2 linked regions of the Caenorhabditis elegans genome follow. The protein of the gene in region 1 interacts with the protein of each later gene in a biochemical or structural test. Each region holds a gene or a part of one and is shown on either strand. Other genes may lie near its edges.

Region 1 (8,352 bases):
TTGTTCGGTGCTTCATCCACAACTACGCCTGCTTCTACAGCTCCGACTGGTGGATTATTCGGAGCAGCAACCACAACTGCTCCCGCCGCAGCAGCTCCGACTGGTGGCCTGTTCGGGGCTGCGACTACAACTGCACCAGCAACTGTAGGTCCGACCGGTGGATTGTTTGGAGCAGCAACTACAACAACACCTGCTACTGCCGCTACATTGGGACAAACTCCATCTACAGTGTCAGCAACTCCATCTCTTCCAACCACAACCAGCACTACTTCCACTCTTCCAAAGCCAGCAGAAGCTACTCCAACTCTTGGACTTGGCCTAGGGCTCACTTCAACACCATTGGCTAAGGGAACTGGGTACATTTTGGTTTACTTTTTAAAAATATAAAAAAAACTCTTAATTTCAGATGGACAACATCAGGACTTAAAGGAGCTGCAACTACATCTGCAGGCCTGAAAATTGGTGCAAGTGGAAGCGACACACTTTCTGAAGAAGAAATCAAAGCAGGACTCGGTGGAAATGATACAAAAGCCTTCTTCACCGCCCTTCAAGAAGTTGTCAATAGTTATCATTCGGAAATTGCGAAGCAGGAACGAGTATTCCATAATAAAATGCTCGAGCTTAATGCTTATGACCGTGAGCTCATTACACTCGAGCCAAAAGTTTTAGGATTGTACAATGAGATGGATGATTTGAGTGGAAGCTGCAAGAAACTGCATTTCAACGTCGCCTCCATGACTTCTGTCTTGAACGATATTGAGCAAAATGTTGTTGAGCTAGAGAACAAGCTGAGCCTTCCAGAATGGCATACTCTTGATTACAAATTCCCACTTGATAGCAGATTTGCGTCGAGACATGATGTTCAGAGAGTGCAAATGTACGTCAAAGTTATTGATTTTTAATGGATTAAATTTTTAAGAAATATATTAAATTTAGCTAAAAACTTCAGTTTTCCCAACTTTTTCTTTGTAAAAGCCGATGGAAATTGATTTTTTTTCATATATTGCCCTATTTGGCATGCTTTGGTTGATTATCTCACGCTGTTCCGTTGATTTGGCTCGATTTGCATCCAATTTTCGTAATTTTTGAATAGCTATCGACTTAAAATATGACTAAATTAACGAATTAACGCCAGATAAATAATCAAAATATGCAATAAATCGGGATAATTCGATAAAAACTATATTTCAGCCGCTGCGACAAAGAAAAAGTTGACAAAATTTCGCAAAATCCTGCCATAAAACTATCAGATTTTTTTCTTGTTGAGAGTTTTTGAATATTTAAGCAAAAAAATCCACAGGTTTTTTTTAAAATCATAATAACTAAAACTTTTTGAAAGCATTTTTTTTGTTTTTTGTTCCGAAAATACTTAACACAATGCAATCGACAGTCTTGAAGACGAAAGAAAAAAAGCAAAAAGCGACAGCCCTGGACCTTACTCCCCTTAAAAATCAAAATAATAATTTCAAAAAAAAATTCCAGCGCTCAAATGATGCTCAACGTGGATTCCCAAATGAAATGTGCGGACTTCGATCTCGATCAAATCACCAAGTCACTTAACACAATGCAATCGACAGTTTTGAAGACGAAAACCGAGACCCCGCTGGAGAAAACTGAGCTTATTATGAAGAAGCAGCTGCAGAAGCTGATGGATCTCTCCACTCAACACGGTACTAATTTTAGAGTTTTTAATCAAATTATTAAATGTCAATTTTTATTTTACAGATGCTACTCGTGATAAGCTGAACAAGCTGAAGGATGACCACAATCTGAAAACGAACAACTCGTCGAAGGCCTAGATTCTTACTTTTTATTTATATATTCATTTTTTCTTTAAATTGAAACTCTAATTCTTTAAACCTATACACTTTCACCTGTTTTCTTCATGATCACCACCATCACACTATTTATTTTTTTTGTTATTGTCTGTTTTGTTGTGTGTTTGGTTGAGTTTGTGAATGAACTTGTTTTTAAAAAATATTGATTATATTTTGGTTTTTTTTTTCAAGTGTTTTTTAAAATTACACTGATATATTTTATATTTTCTTGTTTGGAAAATATTTACTTGTGTATTTTAACTCTACATTTTAAAATTAAATTTTAAATATAATTAATTGTTTTATTTCTTCATTTTTTTTTTTTTTTTGGCTTGGAAAATTTTATTTAACTAAAAAAATTAACATTTTAATATGTGGCCCAAGTTATACCCAAGTATTTACCTCTTGCTCTTTAAATTTCAACGAATTTCGTTGAATTTCCCCCATTTGCGGGGGTCACTATTGTTATCAAAAGATCCTTATCATAGTTTTTGATGCTCTAGAAATTTCTAATTGCTTTTCCTTGTGATTTTGAAAACGTTTACAGTGATGTTTCTCTTTTTTGATTTCATCAATTTATCTTGCATCCCTAGGAGCTCCTAGTCAAATGTTAGTATTTTGTGATTTTTGAAAGTACGGTAGCTGCGAGATCGATCGTTTCGAGACTGGAAACCCTACTTTTCATCAAATATCGTAAGATTCCTCGAAGGAGTAACCACCTGTATTGAAAATCGAGGGTGTCAGGTTTTCAATTTTTTGCTAAAATCGAAAAACTAAACTTTTCTTAGAAATAAGTTTTTTAATTCACCAATTTTTGTTTTTGATGTTGATGAAAAAATATATTTACGAAAACAATTTTTAATTTTCTTTTCAAAAAATAATAAAAATAGCCAAAATTTAAAAAAATTTTTTTGATTTTTAGTGGAAATTCAAAAACCGACACCCTTGATGTAAAATTTCCCAACATTGAAAAAGAGTGATATCATTTTTTCCAAATTAGTATTCGTCAAAGTGCAAAAATGCTCTCCGTCTCTTCTCAACGTTGTGTCGTCAATAGTGCTGCTCATTCGCAATTGTTGCTCTCAGAGAGCAGAAGTGGAGGATTATTCGTACACCTGAAGAGACTATATTCCCGCATTCTTTCCTCTTCGTCTTCTTCTTCTTCTTAACCGAAAAATTCGTCAAGCTTTCGCCTTGCTCATTATGCAAAATCTGTTTGCCCCGAGGTCCGGCTAAATGAAGGATCCGAGTGTGTTTTCGTTGAAGATGTCTTTCTTCTTTTCTGTTTTCTCTCTTTTTTTTCTTCTCCAGCTCCACGTAATTGGTGACTCGAGTAGAACTCTATAGCCATTCAGTCTTCTCCAACATCGTCTAACAAAGCCTCTCTTTCAGCTTCTATCTTCTCTCTCTCTCTCTAGTTGACGTCTTCTACGTCTCTCTCTCTCGTTTCAATCTCACTAACCCCCTATTCACGTGAATTCAGCGTCGTCGTCGTCGTCGTCTTCTCTACCCGTGATTCTCGTGACTTCACATAAGCACAATGTCTGCGCCTCCGCTATACGGGTATGATGATAGTCCAATAAGGAAGAGAAGCTCTCTATTGCAGAGTTGAATCTTTTGGGCTAAGTTTATTAATATGGCCATGCACCAGCTTTTTTTTCACATTCACTTCTCTTGTTAAGAAAATTTGAGTAAAATTCGAGTAAAATTACGACTTTTGTAGAATCTGCTATTTTAATTCCAGTGGCCTAGATTTTAAGCATATAATTTGAAGTTTTTAAAACTTTTTACCGATTTTTACTTTTAAAGTTAAAAAAAAAATTATTGATATAATAGTAGGTCCTAAATTATTACGATGTATGCTAGGTCTACTAGCTCTTCTGAAATGAATTTCCACAAATTTATTCGATCATTCCAGTGAATTGGAACTTCCCTCTCAATTGAGACTACAATAATTTGAACATCGTTAGTTATGCGATCAATTAAAGGGCGAAAGGATAACGCATACACTTTCGTTTGCCCGATGTAGATAACAGAAAAGCCATTAGTTGAGAGGCGTCAGTTTCATTATAAACTTCGTAATTCACTTCTGTTTCATAGGCAGTTGCAATGAAGTGATCGTACTTTAGATTTTTTTTTTCTAATTGAAATAATTTCTCCAAAAGCCCATGACCGGAAATCAATTTTTGAAATTTTCATCTGTCGCACACTCTCTTTTGCCAATTCTGTTTGGCTATATATATATGTGTGTGTGTGGTTTTGTGCATGGCTACGAGGGGCTCGACCCAATTAAACAGCACGAAAGGGAAAAGGAGTCCCTCTCTTTTTCGCTCAGCTTTCTCTTATTCCCGATTCTAGAGAGCCGCGCCCCCGACATTTGACATGGAAGAAGAAGAAGAAAAAGAAGAAGAAACATATGAGATCTCACGAGCGCACATCTTCTGAAATGAATTCCAATTGCACCTTCTTATTCGTGTTTCCTGCCAGCAGACTACTTTATTTCTTTTTTTTCTGATCTATGTGTCTTAGAATCTGAAAAAAATTTTTGTCCATATCTGGGCGAGACCCATGGAAATTAATGTAATGTGCCTTTAAAGGAACATGAAAAAGAAAATCCGAAAAAAAATTGAATTTGCAAAAAAAGATATCTCCAAGAAGCCTATTGCTCATTTATTTTATTTTGGCAAAATTGAAAAAAAAAAACATTAACATTTTTTTTTAAATTTTCAAGCAGTTATATTCGGTCATTTAAACTAAAAAATTGTGGCTCTACTCCACCTTGAAATAACCACAATAGTAAGTACAGTAGTTTCATTAAAATAATTTACATTTTTTGGCAGCAAAAAAAGTCTGCTCCCAAATAAAACCCAGACCCGCCGTTCATCACTTGTGTTATTCTTTTCTCGAAAAAAAACGACTCGATCCATTCGTTTTCAGGATATGCTTCTGTGTGTGTATGTGTGCAAAACGAAGAAGCACGTCATCCGAAATAAATAGTCACACATCTCTTTGCTCCCATTTTCCCTCTCTTTCTCTGGTTCTCTCTATCTCTCTTCATCTCTCTTGTTATAGACGCAGAGATAACCCTCCGCTCACAACCACGCTCACGAGACACTCACCACGCGCTCACTCTCTTCGATTTTTTGGCTGTGTTGGTGGTGGCGGTGGCAAGAGAGAGAGAGTGAAAAAATGTGAAAAAAAGGCATGGGTTCCTTGGAATATATATGTTTGGAAGAGGTTATATTGACTTTAACTAACTTTTTTTGCTCAAAAATTTTGCTCTTTTCTGCTATTTTCGCCAATTTTATTTGCTTCAAAAATGTTTTCTAACATGCTGGCCGAACTTTTCCCTATTTCTTATCCATCTTCATCATATGATTCGACCTCATTTCGTAACTTCCTTCACTACGCTCCTCAGTCATGAGGAAGTATTGATTGGTCTGCCTCGTCCACACCACGTCATCAATTTTCCAAAGTTTATGTTTTTTCAGTGTGTGTGTGTTCTCTTCTTCTATTACTTCTACCACCTTTCTCTCTCTTTTTTCACTTTTTTGAGCATTTTCCGATCAATCAATAATCGATTAATCAATTAATCAACTTCCAGAAGAATGTCATATGCCTACCTTTTCAAGTACATTATCATCGGGGATACTGGAGTAGGAAAATCCTGCTTGCTCCTTCAGTTTACCGACAAACGTTTCCAGCCAGTTCATGATTTGACGATTGGTGCGATTTTTAAATTTTATTCAAGTTTTTTTTTCAAAATAATTATTTTCCAGGCGTCGAATTCGGAGCCCGTATGGTGACAATTGACGGAAAGCAGATCAAACTTCAAATTTGGGACACAGCCGGACAAGAATCATTCCGCTCCATCACTCGTTCCTATTATCGTGGAGCCGCCGGAGCTCTTCTCGTCTACGACATTACACGACGCGACACATTCAATCATTTGACATCTTGGCTTGAGGATGCCAGGCAGCACAGTAATTCCAATATGGTTATTATGTTGATTGGAAATAAGAGGTAACATTTTTTTAAAATATAGATTATTGGTTTTTAATATATCGAAAAATAGGTTAACTACTGTTGAAATTCAACGATCGATCCTTGAATTTTGAAAATAAAAATTTTCGCCGGTTTTCCACTGCATTCTCATTCGAAAAAAAAGAACAAAACTAAAAAAATAGTAAAATCGAAACCTTTTTGATTAAAAGCTGTGAAAAAAAGGAGAAAAAACAGTGCCACTGGGTTGCGAATTCACGCTCCGCATCTCTTTCTGTGTGAAGTGTCAAGTTGCCTTTTGCAAAATTCAAGGATCGATTGTTCAAAAATTTCTCTACAAAATCGAACAATTTATAGAAATTTGGTTTTCCAAATAAACACATTTTTATTCAAAAAAATAAAATAAATGTTTTCAGTGACCTGGAAGCCCGTCGCGAAGTGAAACGTGAAGAGGGAGAAGCATTCGCACGAGAGCACGGACTCGTATTCATGGAGACATCTGCCAAGACGGCTGCCAACGTGGAAGAGGCGTTCATCGACACTGCCAAAGAGATCTACCGTAAGATTCAAGAAGGCGTGTTCGACATTAACAATGAGGCAAACGGAATCAAGTTGGGACCACAGCACTCTCCAAGCTCACCAAATTCTCCAGGTGGAAATGCGACGGGAGGATTGGGCGGTGGATCTGGATGCTGTTAATTTTTGATGATGTTTCTTTGAATGAGCTTTGAATGTTTTAACTAAATCGTTTGAATACCAATCTTTTTTATGTTTCCTCCTCTTTTCGAATGTCGTTAGGCACTTTTCTAGTCTCCTTTCTCTCTTCCAGAACCATAATTTTACTTTACATATATATTGCAATTGTCTCTTATTACTACCATCATTTACTGTATATTGTCGCCTGCTTTTTCTCTTTCTCCTCTCTTTCTCTATTTTCTCTCCTTTTCATTCAGTCTCTCACCAATTGTGTGAATATCTGAAATTCCTGTGATTTTCCACTCAATCCATCAGAACAACATGTTGTGAAAATCCCGCTCTCTCTCCCTCATTTCCTCTTAAAAGTTTGTATGTAAGCTCTACTTCTTTTTTCCTTTTCTAATTCTTTCCATTTAATTACTATACGTCTCCAAGCTATCAAAATTTTCAGTGAAATAAATGAATTTTATGAGCGTTTCGTCGAGGATGGAATATATTTTTCTTAAAGTTGAAGTTCTTTTTGATTATTTTCTACAGATTGATTGATAAAAGATTGAATTGATAAGAATATGGGGAGAGACGAAAATTTAGAAGAAATTAGTGGCAAGATTTTTTTTTTGGAAACTTTACAAATATGGTTTCTTAGAAGATGCGAAATTTTTCGATTTTCGTGCCAGAAGTACTGTACCAGGTCTCGACACGACAATTTTTGTTTAATGTGAAAAGGTGCGCGCCTTTAAAGGGTACTGTAATTTCAAACTTTTGTTGTTGAGGAATGTTCTTTTTTTCATGTGCTTTTATTGTTATATTTTAGTTTTTTAATCGAAAAAAATTAGAAAAATCTATGAAAATTTCTCAACAACGAAAATCTGAATTTACAGTACTCTTTAAAGGCGCACCTTTGGTTTTTTTTTGCAAAAAAATATTTTTCGCTTTTTTCGAAAAAAATGTGCGAACCTGTCGCTATAATTGAAAAACTAGCATTTTTTAAAAATATTCTTACCAAAAATAAAAATTTTTTACCAAAAAAAATCAGACATCGATGACTCTATTATGTTCTCTGAACATTGGTTAACTTCTGATCTCTTTGATATTTTTTCTTCTTAACAATTTTCTCATTTCTTCTTTTTTCTTCTCTTCGCAGATTTCGAAATCAAATTTAATTTCTTCATTTTCAGCCCCACAAATACACCTCAATGGGCCCACATCGTCTCCTCTACCAGGCTCTGTGCAAAGCCGGAGATAAATTTGTCTATCCGGTGCTTCCAGCATTCGCCAAGCCGGCTTGGAATCATGCGGCCGGTCCGAAAACTGTATTTTTCTGGGCCCCAACCATCAAATGGACTCTTATCGGCGCTGGACTCGCTGATTTGGCCAGACCTGCTGATAAGCTTTCTCTTTATCAGGTAGGGATTTGTGAAATTTGTTTTCTGGTCCCGCAGCGAAAACTGGAGTGATAATTTGGTGTGTGTGTGTGCCTTTAAGGTTACTGTAGATGTATTGATTACATATTTTTAGAGGTTTTTCTCGTTGTTTTCTTCTCGTTTGTTTTTCTTTTCAAAATGAAGATAATCTCTACAGTAACCTCAAAGGCGCGCGTGGCGAGACCATTCCGCATAAACGCGTCCTCCTTGAAACTCGTAGAGGTGGATACATGAAAATGAGATAAATTTCTAACTAATCTAAATTCTAGTGTTTTCTTCTCGAAAACTACCGAAAAAAGCAATATAATATGCATTAAAATCTAAATTTTTCAGAACTCTGCTCTCTTCGCCACTGGAGCCATCTGGACGAGATATTGCCTTGTCATCACCCCAATCAACTACTATTTGAGTAG
Region 2 (7,689 bases), on another chromosome or scaffold:
GCAAAAAACCGCATCAAAATCCATCCACCCACCGTCAAGTTACACGCGCGTTTTCAGAGTGAACGAAAAACAGGGCATAAAAAAATTTAGACGCCCGCACCCGGACTCGAACTTTTTTCTAATTTGCAAGCTTAATATCTCGGCTCCTGTAAATCGAAATCGGCTGAAAATTCACAAGAAAATTTATTTCGCTACGATCCTCCTGTCATTAAATTTTCGTGAGCTTAGGGAGAAAACTGACAAAACGCCAAACTTTCAAATTTTAAAAAATAGTTGAGGGTCATTTTGAAAACACCTTAAGCTCCATAACTCGGCGAGTTTTGATGGAATCAATTTGAAATTTTACACGGAAGCTTCTTAGTGGCCTATACGTCTCTGTGTTCAATTTCGCTTTGATCGGCCAACGGGAACTCTTTGAAAAATGAAAAAAACGCTGTAATCCTAACCCTAAATAGCGTCAGTGGGGGAGCTAACGCTCCCCCACTGACGCCAAGCCTGAGCTTAAGTCAAAGCCTAAGCCTTAACCTAAGCCTCAGCCTGAGCCTAAGCTCAAAACTAAGCCGAAGCCTGTGCCTCAGCCTAAGCCTAAGCCCATAGTCCAAAATTCTAACAAAATTTTTTTTGTAATACACAAGTAGCAAAATTTTTTTAAATTTTGAATTGCCGCGTAATATATACATTTTTGGAAATCTCCTTCTGCTACAAAAACTCACCTTCCCTTCTTCATCTTTCAACTTCCTCTGCAACTCCATATTCCTCTCCGTCAACTCCTGTGTCAATTTCAACATTTTCTCCACTTGCTCCCTATACTCTGCAGCTTCAAGTTCCGCTTGTTCTCGATCTTCTTCTGCAGTCTCTCGTTCTTTTTCGGTTTCTTCAATTCGATGGCTACTACTCTCCACAAAACTTTCAACTCCTTTCAATCGATCGATTTGCTCTTCACAAAGCTTCCGCCGATCCTCTTCTAAACTCAGTTGGTCTTGAAGAATGTCAATTTTGGAAAGAAGATCCGTATTTTCTCTTGAAGCCTCTTCAAATTTAGTTGCCATTTCCAGTTGAGAAGTTCGGAGTCGTTCTACGTCATGCTCAGATTCTCGGAGTCGACGTTCAAGTTCAGCAGTACTTGTTTGAAGCTTTACTTCGTATTGCTGAAAAGAGCAAAGTAATCAAGAGCTCAAGAGCTATATGTTTGTGAAAATCACGGGGTTCTGGCCTTCCTCATTGAATTTTTTGCGCTCCATTGACAATTGCCCGCCGGACAACGCGTATACATTTAGTTTTACATTCGAGCCGCGACGCGACACGCAACGCGCCGTAAATCTACCCCAGATATGGCCGAGACAAAATGGCCTAATTCGGCAAACTCTTCCATTTCAATTTATGAGGGAAGCCAGAAATCCATGAATATTGTACCTGAATAATATGTTTATCATCCTTTGCCTGAATCAGTTGCTTTCTGAGCATATCTCCCTGTTGTTTGGACTCTGATAGGTTGGATGATAAACTCTGAAAATCATTTTTTAAAAATTAATGTAAAATATTACAGGAACACTAATTTCTGAGAATGCGTATTACACAACATATTTGACGAGCATAGTATCTCGTAGCGAAAACTACAGTAATTCTTTAAATGACTACTGTAGCGACTGTGTCGATTTACGGGCTCGATTTTTGTGTTTTCAACAAAAATATTGTATCGAATAATAAATTGTATCCGGAAATCGACCCAAGCGCAATAGTAGCCTTATTTAAAGAATTACTGTAGTTTTCGCTACGAGATATTATGCTCGTCAAATAAGTTGTGTAATACGCATTCTCAGAAATCGTCAGAATTTTTTTCAACTTTTCGGCAGTGCCTCATTTCGGTGTGATCTATGTAGATCTACAAAAAATGCGGGAGAAGAGGGGGTTCTCAACTGATTTCGCATGGCTATGAACGTGCTGACGTCACACTTTTTCGGGCAAAAAATTGCCGCATTTTTTGTAGATCAAACAGCAATGGGACAGCCTTGCACCACATGATTTTGTAGAATTGTCGGTCAATCATCATGCGTTCTCGCCTGCCTACCTAGCGCCTATTTTCTGCATTCTGGCGTAAAATCGGGTGTTTGGTATGGTATTTACACATTGAAGGTTAAGCTCAGAATAGAAAGAAGAGTAAGCTCAGGCGGCAATGTAGGCGGGAGGTAGGCGTGGGGTACGTCTAGTGGGGAAATGATTAAAAACCATTCATATCAGGGATGTGTGGCAAATTTGCCAAATTTGCCGAGCTGGGCAAATTTTGAAATTCCCCTGATTCATATGATGCTAAAATTATTAAATACCATTAAAAAACGGATTTAAAAAATTTTGGAAAATTTTAAATTTCCAGTCAAAAAGCTCTTTTTGCCTATTTTGTTTGAAAGTCGTAGTCCCACCTCAACTCGTTTCTCGGCAATCTTCATTCGATTTTCAAAATCAAAACGTTCATGCTTCAACTTTTCAATCTCGACTTTCAAGTTCTGCACGGTTTTCTCCAAATCATCCAAATTTTCCTGACTCTGTGCTTTCCTTGCAGCTTCCAATTCCTCTTTGATCACTTTCATATTACTATCTTTCTTGGAAATTTCGTCCCTTAACTTCATCATTTCTCCTTCTCTCATTGCATATTTTACAACCGCTTCGTTCTTTTCCTTATCACATTGTTCGGCTTTTTTTGTGGCCTGAAATTGTGGCCCATATTTAAATGAAAATTGCTGAAAAATTGTACATCAAAAAAACAAAAAAAATACCTGCTGAAGAGCCAAATTAAATTTCTGTGACATTTCTTTAGTTGTCACATTAAAATGTGCTTCCTGAGCCAGTCCTCTGTCCGTTGTGGTTTTGAGTTGAACTTCTAATTCTCGAATTCTTCGCACTTGAGCATCCAACTCTTTTTTGTGCTGATTTTGAACATTTCTGCAAACAAAAATGGGCTAAAGTTTAGGCTTAGGTTTAGGCTTAGGCTTAGTCTTAGGCTTAGGCTTAGGCTTAGGCTTTTGCCTATGCTCAGGCTAAGGCTTAGGTTTAGGCTTCAGCTCACGCTGAGGCTTAGGCTTAGGCTTATTCTTAGGCCTAGGCTTAGTCTTGGACTTAGACTTCTGCTTAGGCGTAGGCTTAGGCTTAGGATTAGGTTTACGCTAAGGCGTAGGCTTAGGCTTAGGCTTCGGCTTAGGCTTAGGCTTAAGCTAAGCCTTAGGCCTAGAAACATGTTTTAGACACAACCTTAAAAAAATATAATTCGAACAATTTTTGAAAGTTATTTTTTAATTGAGCTGCGAAAAAGTTATCTACAGTTTCCGCACTGCAAAATTTGAAAACTGAAAATTTTACATCAAAATTCATGCTTACGAATTTTTATTTTCGACATTTTTCGGAAAACCTACTTCAAAAGTTCCTCATTCAAATCCCGTTCTCGAATTGTTCTCAGCAGCTTTTCTCGATATTCTGCATTTTGCGACTCTAATCTGCAATTTTAAATTTTTTTTTCCACAAAAAAAACTTCCCACAAACCTCTCAAATTCTTGTTCCTGTACTGCATTACATTTCGAGTATAAGGAATTTTCCACGGCAGTCGTCGGGATGACGTCATCTTCGTTATGAATAAGGGGCGATGCTACACGAACAGGTGTTCCATATGTGGAATTTGTCTGGGAAAAAGGTGTATATATATATATAGTTATATAGTATATATAGTGTTGTATATATATAGTTATAACTTTACTATATTATTTTTTTAACAGTTCAAAAATAAAATTTAAATTTTTTTAAATTCTCGAACTTCAGTTAAAACGCCAAAATGTTGAAAAATTTAATAATAATACAAATAAAATAAAAAACTTACCGGTGTTGCTTCACACGACTCCACTACGTCTTCTTCCATTTTTTTAAAACAGAAATTTTATTTGGATTAACACTAAGTTCTGAGCATTTAGATTGAAAGTCTGAAATTAAAATTTTTTTGTGATGAGTCCTCAAACACAAAAAAAAGTTAAGAAGGTTTCTCCCCTCTGAAAATGAGCACATGCTCCTCATTTGGAGCTCCACGGAGCCCTCGATGACGTACGCCACTTTCCATGTTTCTCTGCGTCTCTCAGCTTTTACTACACTATCGATTTTCTTCCCCTTAAAAAGGGAAGGAGGAGGAAAAGCAAGAAAAGTGTGCGGAGGGGGGGGGGGCTCTTTGAGCACAATGCTTTAGGCTATAAAATAGCGCAACAGGGGGTACGCTCTGAAAATTCGAAGTGTTATGATATTAATTTTGCGTTTAAAAATGAAATTGAAAATTTGGTTTTATTTTAGACATTTCAAAAACATATCAGAGAAATTTATGATTTAGAAAAAAATAAAAAAATGGAAAAAAAAACAAAGAAAAGATCATTAATTAGATCGTTACAAAACTCCAAGTTAAAACTACAATTGAAAAAAATAATAAAATCACAACATTTTTAATTTATCCTCTGTTGAAATTCGTTTGCAGCATTTCAACAGACATATCCCAAGTAACACGAAAAATGCTCCAGAAATTGCGAAGATAACGTTTGGTGAGAGTTCTGGAGAATTGGATCTGGAAAAAAATTTAAGAGGGATTTGTTGTTTTGGATACTTGCTGGGGGAAAACCAAAAAATCAGCCGTTTTCATGAAAAAATTTGAATTTCCCGCTAAAAAATGTTTTTCAGAAAATTTGAATTTTCTGCTAAAACTTTTCTCAGAAATTTTGAATTTCCCGCCATAAAATATTTATCGGAAAATTTGAATTTCCCGCCAAAAATTTTTCTGAGAAAATTTGATTTTTCCGCCAAAAATTGTTTTTTTCAGAAAATTTCAATTCCTCGCCAAAAAAAATTCCAGCATATTTGAATTACCCGCTATAAAATATTTTTCAGAAAATTTAAATTTCCCGCTAAAACTTTTTTAATGACAATTTTAATTTCCCACCATTATATATTTTTGTGAAAGTTTAAATTTTCCGCCGAACAAATTCTCAGAATATTTGAATTTCCCCCATAAAATATTCCTCTGAAAATTTGAATTCCCCGCTAAAACTTTTTAAATGAAAATTTGAATTTCCCGGCACAAAATATTGATCATAAAATTTGTATTTCCCGCCAATCAATGTTTAATTTTTCCCCAAAAAAAAAAGGTATCTGAAAATTTAAATTTCGCGCCAACGTTAAAAAAATAGTAGCGCCGACCAAATTTTTTCGGAAAAAGGTTGAAAAATCAACAAAAAAATGCAGCTTTGGCCAAATTTCCATGATTTAAACAAACAAAAATAAAACTATTGGAAATTCAAATTTTAAATTGCAAAATTTGGTATATGTTCTCAGAAAACAGCGAGTGCCTTTAAACTGACGTTTTGCACGTGGTGCCAGTCTGTCCCATTACGGCTTGATCTACAAAAAATGCGGCAATTTTTTGCCCGAAAAAATGTGACGTCAGCACGTTCTTAACCATGCGAAATCAGTTGAGAACTCTGCGTCTTTTCTCCCGCATTTTTTGTAGATCTACGTAGATCACGCTGAAATGAGACACTCTGACACCAAAACTTCGCGCCAAAACTGTAGCTTACTCCTTTTCCTTGCCAACAGTCTTGCCCGAGGCTTTGCCATTTTCTGAAGGTTGTGTATGTTTAGGTGTGGCTGATCCCGGAGAGAACGATTTTCTGGGCTTCTTTGTGGTTGTAGGTTCACTAGAAATTGATGGCTCTTTTGGTGGTGGATCCTGCTGGACAATCGGATCTTGGCTTGAAGCCTTCTGAGTAGGGGTATTCGGAGCTTGAACCGGTGCACTTGGTGAAGTCGGCGGAGCTGAAGCCTGTTGTTGGGTAACGGGCTGGGCCTTCTGAGCTGGTGGTGCTGGAGAAGGTGTAGGTTTTGGAGGATTTTGTTGAACTGGGGGAGCCTGCTGAGGAGCTGGCTTTGGCGGAGCCTGTGTGGCCTGTTGTGAGGATGGGGCCTGTTGAACAGCCGGCATAGGAGGATTCTGTCGGACCGGGGGAGCCTGCTGAGGTGTTGGTTTTGGCGGAGCTTGCTGCACTGGTGGAGCAGGGGCTTGTTGTACTACTGGGGCCTGGGCTTGTTGAACAGCCGGCTTAGGAGGATTCTGTTGAACTGGGGGAGCCTGCTGGGGCGCTGGTTTTGGCGGAGCCGGAGCAGCTCGGGTCGGAGCTTGTTGAACAGCCGGCTTTGGTGGAGCTTGTTGGACTGGAGGAGTCTGCTGAGGAACTGGTTTTGGCGGAGCTTGTTGGACTGGAGCCGAGGCTTGTTGTACAACCGGTGCTGGATTTGGCGGCTGCTGTACTGGCTGAGCTTGGGCCTGTTGTTGCTTTGGCGGTGGAGCTTGTTGAACTACCGGAGCCTGCTGAACTATTGGCTTAGGTGGAGCTTGAACCACTGGTTGCTGTTGAACCGGTTGAGCCACTGGTTTTGGTGAAGCCTGTTGAACAGGCGGGGCCTGCTGAACTACAGGCTGAGCTTGAGCCTGTTGTGGCTGTGATGGTGGAGCTTGTTGAGCCACTGGAGCCTGAACCACAGGTTGCTGAGGTGGAGGAGTTTGTTGAACTACTGGAGGTTGTTGTGTAGGAGCCTTCTGGACTACAGGCTGAGCTTGAGCTTGCTGAACAATCGGCTTGGCCTGAGCCGGCGGTGCCTGAGCCACTGACTTTGGAGCTTGTTGAGCAGGAGCCTGCTGGACTACAGGTTTGGGAGGTTGCTGGACAGGAATTTGCCTAGCAGCTGGTGGAGCTGGAGCTTGATGTTGTTGAGCTTGGGGAGCAGGCGGATTTGGCGGAGCTTGAGCCACTAGTATTGGAGCTTGCTGAACAGTCGGCTTGGCCTGAGCCGGCGGGGCCTGAGCCACTGGCTTTTGCTGTGCTGGTTGAGCAGGTGGGGCCTGCTGAACTACAGGAATTTGCTGAGCAGCTGGTGGAGCTTGAGCTTGTTGTTTTTGAGCAGGTTGGGTTTGTTGGACGATCGGCTTGGCCTGAGCCGGTGGAGCATGAGCCTGAGCTTGCTGTTGTTGCTGAGCTGGTGAATTTGGCGGAGCCTGTTGGATTACAGGTACTTGCTGTTGACCCGCAACTGATACGAACAGCAAACCTGAAACTGAGGAAATGCTTTGAAGGTTGATAATATTATTTATTGCTTATAGTAGGCAATGTAGGCGTTGCCTGCCGCCTGCCTGTTCGAGCGTGCCTACTGAGCGAATTTGAGTTGACAAGCTTCATCGTTTTTTTTTTTTTGGTAAAATTTTTTGTGATAGCCTTGAGCAGAAAAATAGACAGAACAAAAAAAGGCACGTAGGCATGAAGGCGTACCTACATGTATACCTACGAGATTTTCAAATTTAAGGCGAAATGGTTTTTTTTGCACTTGGAAAATTTTTCCGGAAAAAAAACGGTACTAGTCCTAAATCACCCCGCCACTTTTCCTTACATTTTCTTCGATAAAAACGTAGAAAAGGAAAAGTGGCGGGGTGATTTAGGACTAGTACCAAAAAAACTCACCGAAAACTAAAAAACGTCTCATTTGATTTCCGGCAGTTCGAGAATTACGGTATGATCAGTTTCAACGAATAAACGCGATGGAAAAGTGTGAAAGGTATATATAAAAGTGAATAAGCCAGCACGAATGATATCAATATGTAAATGTTATGGATGGGGAGAGGTC

The links. The genes of interacting proteins can lie anywhere in the genome.
Region 2: the proteins of unc-108 (region 1) and cccp-1 form a complex in vitro, tested with the Caenorhabditis elegans proteins (one study listed by BioGRID).

What each region holds. Positions count from the first base shown.
Region 1 is NC_003279.8:3,819,526-3,827,877, forward strand, and holds unc-108 (Ras-related protein Rab-2), read left to right. Parts: upstream 1-3,357; coding exon 3,358-3,380; intron 3,381-5,421; coding exon 5,422-5,543; intron 5,544-5,596; coding exon 5,597-5,840; intron 5,841-6,235; coding exon 6,236-6,518; downstream 6,519-8,352. Other genes in the region: npp-11 (Nsp1_C domain-containing protein), read left to right, coding at 1-356, 407-877, 1,483-1,670, 1,726-1,799; mpc-2 (putative mitochondrial pyruvate carrier 2), read left to right, coding at 7,712-7,921, 8,273-8,352.
Region 2 is NC_003281.10:12,469,152-12,476,840, reverse strand, and holds the start of cccp-1 (CARD domain-containing protein), read right to left. Parts: upstream 3,966-7,689; 5' UTR 3,902-3,965; coding exon 3,863-3,901; intron 3,669-3,862; coding exon 3,532-3,668; intron 3,486-3,531; coding exon 3,405-3,485; intron 3,220-3,404; exon of another isoform or gene 3,166-3,219; intron 2,938-3,165; coding exon 2,772-2,937; intron 2,703-2,771; coding exon 2,418-2,702; intron 1,507-2,417; coding exon 1,414-1,506; intron 1,149-1,413; coding exon 714-1,148; intron 1-713. Other genes in the region: Y49E10.29 (Prion-like-(Q/N-rich)-domain-bearing protein), read right to left, coding at 4,456-4,585, 5,592-7,119, 7,527-7,548.